2 linked regions of the Oryza sativa Japonica Group genome follow. The protein of the gene in region 1 interacts with the protein of each later gene in a pairwise test. Links are inferred from orthologs where the notes say so. Each region holds a gene or a part of one and is shown on either strand. Other genes may lie near its edges.

Region 1 (4,253 bases):
TTTTGTATTTTTGGTCTTTTGGCAAAGAATGTTATTCCCTTGTCAGTCAAGAGAAAAATGTAGTTACCCTGTATATATCTTTTGTAATGCCCTGTCATATACCATGTTCTTGGCAGCTGGCCTCTCTGTCCCAACCACGAAACATCTGGCAGGAACCATCTAACTAATTAAGCTTCTCATTCCTTTCGGTGTTTATTCTTCGAAAGAATTGGCGCAGCAACATTGCGTTCACTTTATCTTTGAGCATTTGGAAGATATCTATGCTCCATAGAATGTACCATTTTTTTCTGACCCCAAGGTTCTAGACTAATGGCAGACCTGCTTGAGCGGCCAGAATTCAGGATGGATCTACCACAAGTCCACAAACTAGAAATTTAGTTCAGCCGGTGTATCAATATTTGATCAACCGTGACAAATGCTAGTATCAGATATGTGTTCTGCAGTATGAAGATCGGATGATTATTAACTAAATCACATTACAAAACTGGGGCATGGCAGAACATGGTGTAGTCGTGATATGCATCAGGTGATGATTGATTTAATCACATTACAAAATTGGGACATGGCAGAACATAGTGTATCTGGCAAAACATCAGCACGAGCGCACAACGTTATTTTCTTATAAATAAACATTTCTTCGGAAAATCCAAGTTGGACTAACCCCACGGTACTGATATTTGCCACCTTCAGAACAAAAATTCAAAATAAAATTACATGAAACGCAGAGACAAACAAAAGCCTAGATATGTACATTAGACTAACCAAGATTGCGAAGAAAGCCTTCAACAAATTGAACATTCTAACCAAGGAGTTCTGGGATACTCGGAAGCAAAAGGGGAATACAACGGTCAGTAGTTCTTGTTGGGCACGAAGAAATCGAACGTAACGTCGACGCTGCCTGATGTTTCTCCAGTGTCCTTGAAGTCAACACCTACGATCTTCCCTCTGTACTGCTCTTCAGATTCCTGGTACTCAGGCTTGACACGGCGAACAGGAACGGTCACAGAATATACTGTGCCAAGGCCAGCATCAGTTGAGATATCCACCTGGACGTTGTCTCGTGATTCTATCTCCACGAATTCAGAGAGTGCCTCAACGATGTTCTCAACAATCTTCTTCTTTGCCTCGTCACTCACTTCACACCTGTCGGAGAACAGTATCATCTTAAGCCTCTGCTTTGCGATGTTTGCATTAGAGTTCTCCTTAATGCTTGGTGCTGGGAAGATTATCTTCCATGCTAATTTCAGACGATCAAGAAACCCCATGTTAACAATGTTGTGAAGAAAGCCTTCCACCTCTTGAGCAATAGGAGAGAAGTCATTCCTTGAAAGAGCAAAAGTCTGAATGGAGCTCTTTGAACAGCTTTGGTGCTCAATGCCTAGATGCTTAGGAGTAAGCATGATGTTGCAAGATCGTCCACGAGGAAATGAACTAAACTGTGCCTACAGAAGTAGAGGTAAAGTCGTTAGCTAATAATCCACTGAAATATGCTATTCCATAGAAAAAAAACAACTCTATGATGCAAAGAATATCCAATGTGAATGCAATCTAAAGCTGAGAATTATATGCAACTACACATTCAAGAATCAAGACAAACCAGAAATTTTCATTAGATTATGATTTTCAACCATTACGGAGAAGTTCAAACAAGGTTACTCCAAAGAGTTTACAATAGGAAAAGAAACATGGTACGCGTGTGTGAATGCACTATATGCTTTGCCAAAATTCAAGTTCGGCATCACTACCAGTACCAGTGTCAATCCAAGCAGGATCTGTTAGCACATTAAACAATTCAAGAAGAGTCTTTGCTACAATAGTCTCAGCAGCATATCTATGAAAATAATAGTGGAGTTAGCACATTTGGTCGCTTCATTCCAAAAGTCATCCAATATTAAATTGAGCAGAACCAGAACAGCACAAGAGCATGGTAGAATGATACACACTTTTGAGTTGTTATTAAGCATTTGAAACAGTTACCATTCAGAAACCAACCAAACAAAAACTTTATAATTTGCTCAGAACTCCTATAGGCAAGAATGGGACAAGCAACTAATGTGCTATCCTGACCTACTGTAATATGACTAATACTCATCTCAGGAGGTATAAAACAAAGGTTATTTAAGACTGAGATATAGAAAGATAGGCTGTATGCCAAATCCTAAATAAGAACATTGTCATTTCCAGTTCACACCCATATTTGACAACACAGTTAGGTTTTCACTCTCTTCAAACATCTAATATTAACTCATAACAGCAGATGTGCTTCGAAAACATTTGACTACACGAGACACCCAGGCCAGCATTTTGTGTCTACACCTAGCAATTACACTTGCTTGTACGCTAACACAAACTAGACCAGAGGTCGCAAATGTATAGCTGCGTCTTCCGCAGCTTTACATATCAAATTTCACAGCTTGACTAATATCTAAATCCCAACAGTTCCTCGTGAACCTCGCGACAGACCAGAATCAGAGCACACCAAAACCGCCGCTTTGGTAACGAATTCTAGTATTCTACAGCACTAGATCCAAGAGGATGTTGGAATCGAGAACGCTCAACATGAAAAATCTCCTCTCTCATTATTTTTTTCTCCTCCCCATTCCCCACCCCCACCCCCAAAACGAGGTGCAGCGGCACAATCTTTTGTTCCTTCAAAAAACAAAAAGAGGTACGAATCTATCATCTCATCTTCATCAGCGCGCAGGGATCCGAGATGGCATCCGGCCACGGGGAGACCCAACCTCCTCCATCTTATCTAGGGTTTTGGGGGGAGGGGAAAGAAGAAGAGATGGAGACCGGACCTTGGAGCTGGTGGCGGGGTTGCGCCGGCGCGGGGCGGGGAGGACGGAGGCGGACGGGGCGAGCACCGCGCCGGGCTCGCCGCCGAAGCCGGCGGAGATCGACGTCGCCATTGCCATGGCAGCTAGGGTTTGGTCTCCAGTGAGTCTCTGCTCCACTCTTGGTTGGACTTGGGATGGGAATGGAATTGGAAAGGTGGTGGCGTAGTGGTCACCTCAACTGGGGTACAACCGACAGTGGGGCCCACTGGTCAGTCTCACGTGTGGCCCTGGCTGGACGGAGAACAGTAGGTGGCTAGTACTCCCTCCGTCCCGGTTTAGCTGTCGCTGGGGTGTAGAGTTTGTCCCAGAAAGAGGATCGTTTAGGCGTAGGGCAGCTAGCAGGCTAGCCACTAGTATGAGTACTTCTATTAATTTTCTTCCCCATGCTGGTTGCAGACATATCAGAATGACAGGCGCAGTACTAGTTTTGTGTTAATTTTTAAGCATTGAAATGATTAATGTAGGGGCACGTTGGTCATTTTTCCAGCACCATATTTTGTCATCTCTTTCCTAGAACGACTAGTAAACTGGGACAGAGGGAGTACTTGGCGTACTTGCATATTTTTCCTATAGGAGAAAACACATTTTGTGCTAAGAATATACAAAACGATAAAAATATGGCGTTAGTTTTTTCTTTACAAATATGTTATTTTTGGTCCATCTGATCCAAATTAAGATTCATACCAGGTCCTAGTGAAACAAAATTAAAGCGTGCAAGCGCAAGGAATCGAGCTCAAGACCTTCTGGTTGGTAAACATCATGTGTTCGTCATGCAATCAAGCTGCCGTTTTTGAATTGAAACTAAATTTACATTCTACTTGTTGGAGATGAACCAAATCATTTCAATGTGCAAACTACAATTCACTAACCAGCAAACATATTTCACAAAATTAACCCTTCATCTTCGCATGAACTTTGAGAATTGTTTCAACTAGCAAATCAACAGCGTACCTACAACAAACACATGCACACAAGACACGGTGATTTACGTGAAAAAACCTTCTCAGTGTAAGGAATGAAAAACCACGGGACAAAATGGTTCACTCCAAGCTTCCACTATAATCAACAATAAGTACGATTCGAGTCTTCTCTAGAACATTTAGAGGCACATTACAACAGCAGTTATACCATCAAGTTACATACTTGTCAATCATCAACATCAACCATAACAACTAACAAGAGTTATAACAATAACAAGCAGAGAAATATCAGATTCTGTCCTCTTCGGTTCTCAACTAACATCTCCCAAACCATATATGCGAGTTACATGAAACTTGGTAGAAATGATGGTTTATGAGTCCCTTCCAAGCTGTCCAAAAACAGCCCAATCGGACACTGTTTGATCCCTCAAACTGACATCTACTAAATGATGCACAAGCTGAAACTATAGTCACTCGAGCTAACAAACCACTA
Region 2 (4,050 bases), on another chromosome or scaffold:
GAGGTACATGAAGTGATGCTGCCGTTGTACGCTGTTCCCTGGCCTTCACGGCCTGCCTGTCTCTGTCTGAGATCGCTGTGTTTCTGTTTCTGTAATTTGAGTGGAAGATCTATATATGACACAACTGTAACATCTGCTTAATCTGGATGGCACATTTTTCCACTAAAAATGGAAAAAAAATCTATGCTTGTGTATTATTTGCTTGGTGGCTAAGCTTATGAATTGTTTTAATTCAACTTTACCTTTTATACGTGTCCTCAAGCCAGATATACATGATGGTAATGCTAGACTGCTAGCTGTAACTTATTGATAAGAAAATATTCAACAATCATCAAAAGATTTCGGAGTGTTCCAGTTGAGTTTGATGTCGTGATACAAAATTTACCTTGTTATGATGTGGCTACCATTTATCAAATTGCCGAGATAGCAAAGGTCTGGCAAAATGTCAAAGAAATCAACCAGACCTAGTCCTCGAAGACAGAAAAATTTTAAGGGAAACATTATAAAGTAATTGGCGTCAAACCGAACAGTATACAGTTTAAAATCAATGGAACTATGGAAGCATTCAACTCGACAACTATACGGTTTGATTCTGACGACAAAAACGAGCATCTCCATTCTTGCTTAATTCTGACGTAAAACCAGATCCAAGACTAGAAGCACCAAAACATATCTTCGTAAATTACTTATGTACTGAGCAAACAAGGCAAAATACTCCAGTCTATGGATTTAAGCACAACGGATGAATCATTCTACACTATAACAAAGCAAAAGAAATGGGAAAAACAATCGTAGCTCCAAAACGCAAATCTGTACACACTGCCTACACTGAGCTCATTAATCTCACAGCAAATTACCCACCAAAGAATGAAAAGAACCCAGCTTTCTTCTTGGGCCTCTCCTGCTCCTCTACCATAACTGCTGTCATTGCATCTCTTTCCACCAACCGCCAAGTCGCCTGCTCCAGAGCAAGACCAGCTGGTGTGGGTGGGTCGTTCAGAACCAACGGCACACCTCTATTTGTACTCCGGATCACCTCCGCGTCCTCTGGCACAACACCTAGCAAAGGCAAGCCAAGCATTTCTTGAACATCAAGTGCTGACATCATATCCTCTCCCTTCACCAGGTCTGGGCGTACTCGGTTGACAATAATCTTAATGTCTTTGATGCCGTCACACTCCAATAGCCCTGCAACACGGTCAGCATCACGGAGAGCCGTAATGTCAGGGGTAGTAACAAGCACGGCCTCTTCTGCAGGGGCAATAGCAGTGACAAACCCTGCATCAACACCTACAAAGAAAAATCTGATTTAAGCAATCTGGCATAACATATGTGGATGCATATATAACTGGTTATAATCTAACATTATTATCAGGCAACTGCAGATAATATTTGTGGCACTGGAATTGATCAAATCAGTGGTGACAATTGCAGTGCTCTAACTTATTATCTGTGAACATGGGATAGTGAATACAGCACTATAGAGATAGAAAAGGAGAAGGTTCCTTCTTTTTTAAGAAAGAGAGGATGACATTCCCATTTCATTAAGGAAATGTAATAGACGTTTAACCAGTGATTACAAAGCCAAAAGGAACCTATTACCATTTCACCGGTGCCATGTCCTAAGCAAAGGATAAAGCTAAGTCTTGCAACATTTTCACTTAACAGACCAGCACTAAAAGGTGAAGGTTCATAATTATATATTGACATGACAGAATTATGCTGCAGTTAGTTATGGATGGTCAATCACTCAATCAGTGGGGTTGAAATTTACAGCTCACAACCAAATTAAACAAACTGATGCCTGGCCTAAACAACACCTATATGTGGCAGGTAAGAAAACAAAATCTTAAGTTACAATGATCAAAGGATAACTTGATATGGCTCTAAAATCTAAAATAGAAAATAGGTAATATGCATAAATGGATTGACTTTGAGAATATAAGTTGCATCACGGTTATGCACTGGCATCATAAAAAGTTTGACTTGCATCATGGCTCTTAAAGTTACAATTCTGGGCAATAGATAGGGATGGGCAAGCGAGAACAAGATAAACATCACAATTATTAATTGCGTTAAAGCAAATCGAGTGGCATATAACATCCATCATCATAAGTTGATGGAAATGGTGGTGGGGCGGACTGACCTGCAGGGCAGTCGATGAGGATGAAAGCGGGTGGGTTGGCGGCGCGGCGAAGCGCGTCAGCGACCCAGGTGAGGGTCTTGGAGCCGAAGGCGAGGGGCAGCTTGGAGCGGGGCTTGGAGAGGCAGAGCAGCTGCAGGTCATGGAGCGCGCGGTGGCGGACGAGGGCCTGGTCGAGGCGGCAGTCCCCAGCGAGCACGTCGGCGGCGGTGAGGTGGACGCGGTTCTCGAGGCCGAGGAGGAGGTCCAGATTGCGCAGGCCCGCGTCGGCGTCGACGGCGACGGCGGAGAGGGAGAGGCGTGCGAGGGAGGCGGCGAGATTGGCCGTGGTGGTGGTCTTACCCACGCCGCCCTTGCCGGAGGTGACCACCACCACGCGCGGGGTGGGACCGGACAGCTCAGGCGCGGTGCGGCCGCCGTGGCGCGCGGGGGAGGAGGCCGGCGGGGGGCACCGGGAAGGTAGGAGGAGGCGCGGGGCGAACGCCATTGGAGTTAGGGTTAGGGTTGGGGTTCTCTTCTCTTCAAGCGGAGATCCTCAGGAAGGAAGGAAGGTGGGTAGTGGAGGTGGTAGCGGTGTCCGCTTTGGCTGCTACTCTACTTGCCTAGTACTAGCATCGTTTAGGCCTAGAAATGAGAAACTTCCCAACATTTTAAGCCCATGAATTGTTTGCTCCCTACCAAAATAAACCCACTTATAATATATTCTAAAATAAACCAACTTAGAATAACATGATATCCTATTCTAGATTTATTTAATTTGAAAAATGTTACCATTGAATTTTGCATATATACGAGTAGAAGAAAATAAATCATCATACATTGTACTCCCTCTGTCCTATTTTAAATGTTTTTTTTTTACCATTCGAAGGAGGGAATCAGGAAAATGGGTGAAAGCCCCCTACAATGGCATCGCATGTCAGTGGTAGTGACTACTCCACCACAACTGTTTAGTATAGATATATAATTTTGTTAAAAATTTTGTAAAAGAACAAATCCTAGCAAAATAAATGGTAATTACATACATACGTGCAAAAATCATATATTTGCAAAAGTCATATATTAAAAGAAGGATTGATATAAATTGTTTGGTTAAAAAAACAGATAGCTTAGTATAGGAAAATACCAATGTTATACACTATTTTTCTAACATGTCATGTTCTGAGTGGTTGATCTTTCTGCGGCGACTCCTTATCCTGAACTACTACTCCGTTAAAAAAAAACAAATTCCTAGCTACGAATCAAGGTTCATTGGTAGGATTGGTCTCTTTTTTTTTTTTGAAAACGGAGGGGGTAAATGCTTAAATACCAGAGAATCGTTACATGGATAGCATTTTATCCTAGAAACTAAATTAAACATAAAATGCTACTGTAGCTAAAAGAAAAGGTGAGGCCAGGGAAACACTTCCAAATGTGTCTGTCAATCTGGTACTTTCTTTTGCAGAATAGTATTTATACAGAAACTGAAAACAACAGATAGGCAGGCAGACAGACACAATGCAGAGGTGGCTGCTACGGTGATGGACCTCACCCAATATTCGTTGGGTTCCCCACTTTCACAACAGATCACTCCAGATCACCAACCCATTCATAACTTCTCCATATTTATATGCAAATGCAACCAACCCCCACCACCAGTGAATCATCAGGTACCTTATCGCAGCCAAACGATTGTATTGATGGTAAACGCTAACCCAAGCTCATTGACACAGGTACATAGCGGTATGGCATGGGTAAAGAGTACTATTTGACGCAAGTACAGCAAACCGTTTCTGGGTCCTTCATACTGCATAAGCAATCACACGCATCCATCTATCTGTATCTCAAGTTCATGTCAAGCTCGGGCCCGTACATGCCGCCAGGTACATGACCAGCCATTGCTGGGTGCATCTGCTTGGATCTGGCTGTAA

What was found.
Region 2: the proteins of cell division topological specificity factor homolog, chloroplastic (region 1) and septum site-determining protein minD homolog, chloroplastic interact in binary tests that used the Arabidopsis thaliana proteins (3 or more experiments, as listed by UniProt). The link is inferred for Oryza sativa Japonica Group from reciprocal best matches to the Arabidopsis thaliana genes MINE1 and MIND.

Annotation. Positions count from the first base shown.
Region 1 is NC_089046.1:19,400,076-19,404,328, forward strand, and holds cell division topological specificity factor homolog, chloroplastic, read right to left. Parts: upstream 2,983-4,253; 5' UTR 2,919-2,982; coding exon 2,802-2,918; intron 1,443-2,801; coding exon 849-1,442; 3' UTR 601-848; downstream 1-600. UniProt on the Arabidopsis thaliana protein: Acts as a topological specificity factor during plastid division and specify plastid constriction sites (such as the Z-ring) in a MCD1-dependent manner. Especially involved in epidermal plastids division in a FTSZ1-dependent manner.
Region 2 is NC_089040.1:565,630-569,679, reverse strand, and holds septum site-determining protein minD homolog, chloroplastic, read right to left. Parts: upstream 2,719-4,050; 5' UTR 2,631-2,718; coding exon 2,147-2,630; intron 1,291-2,146; coding exon 854-1,290; 3' UTR 655-853; downstream 1-654. Other genes in the region: uncharacterized protein, read left to right, coding at 1-16; uncharacterized protein, read right to left, coding at 3,953-4,050. UniProt on the Arabidopsis thaliana protein: Together with ARC3 and MCD1, regulates FtsZ ring positioning in chloroplasts in an ARC6-dependent manner. Calcium-dependent ATPase required for the correct placement of the plastid division site. Inhibits FtsZ filament and ring formation in the plastid.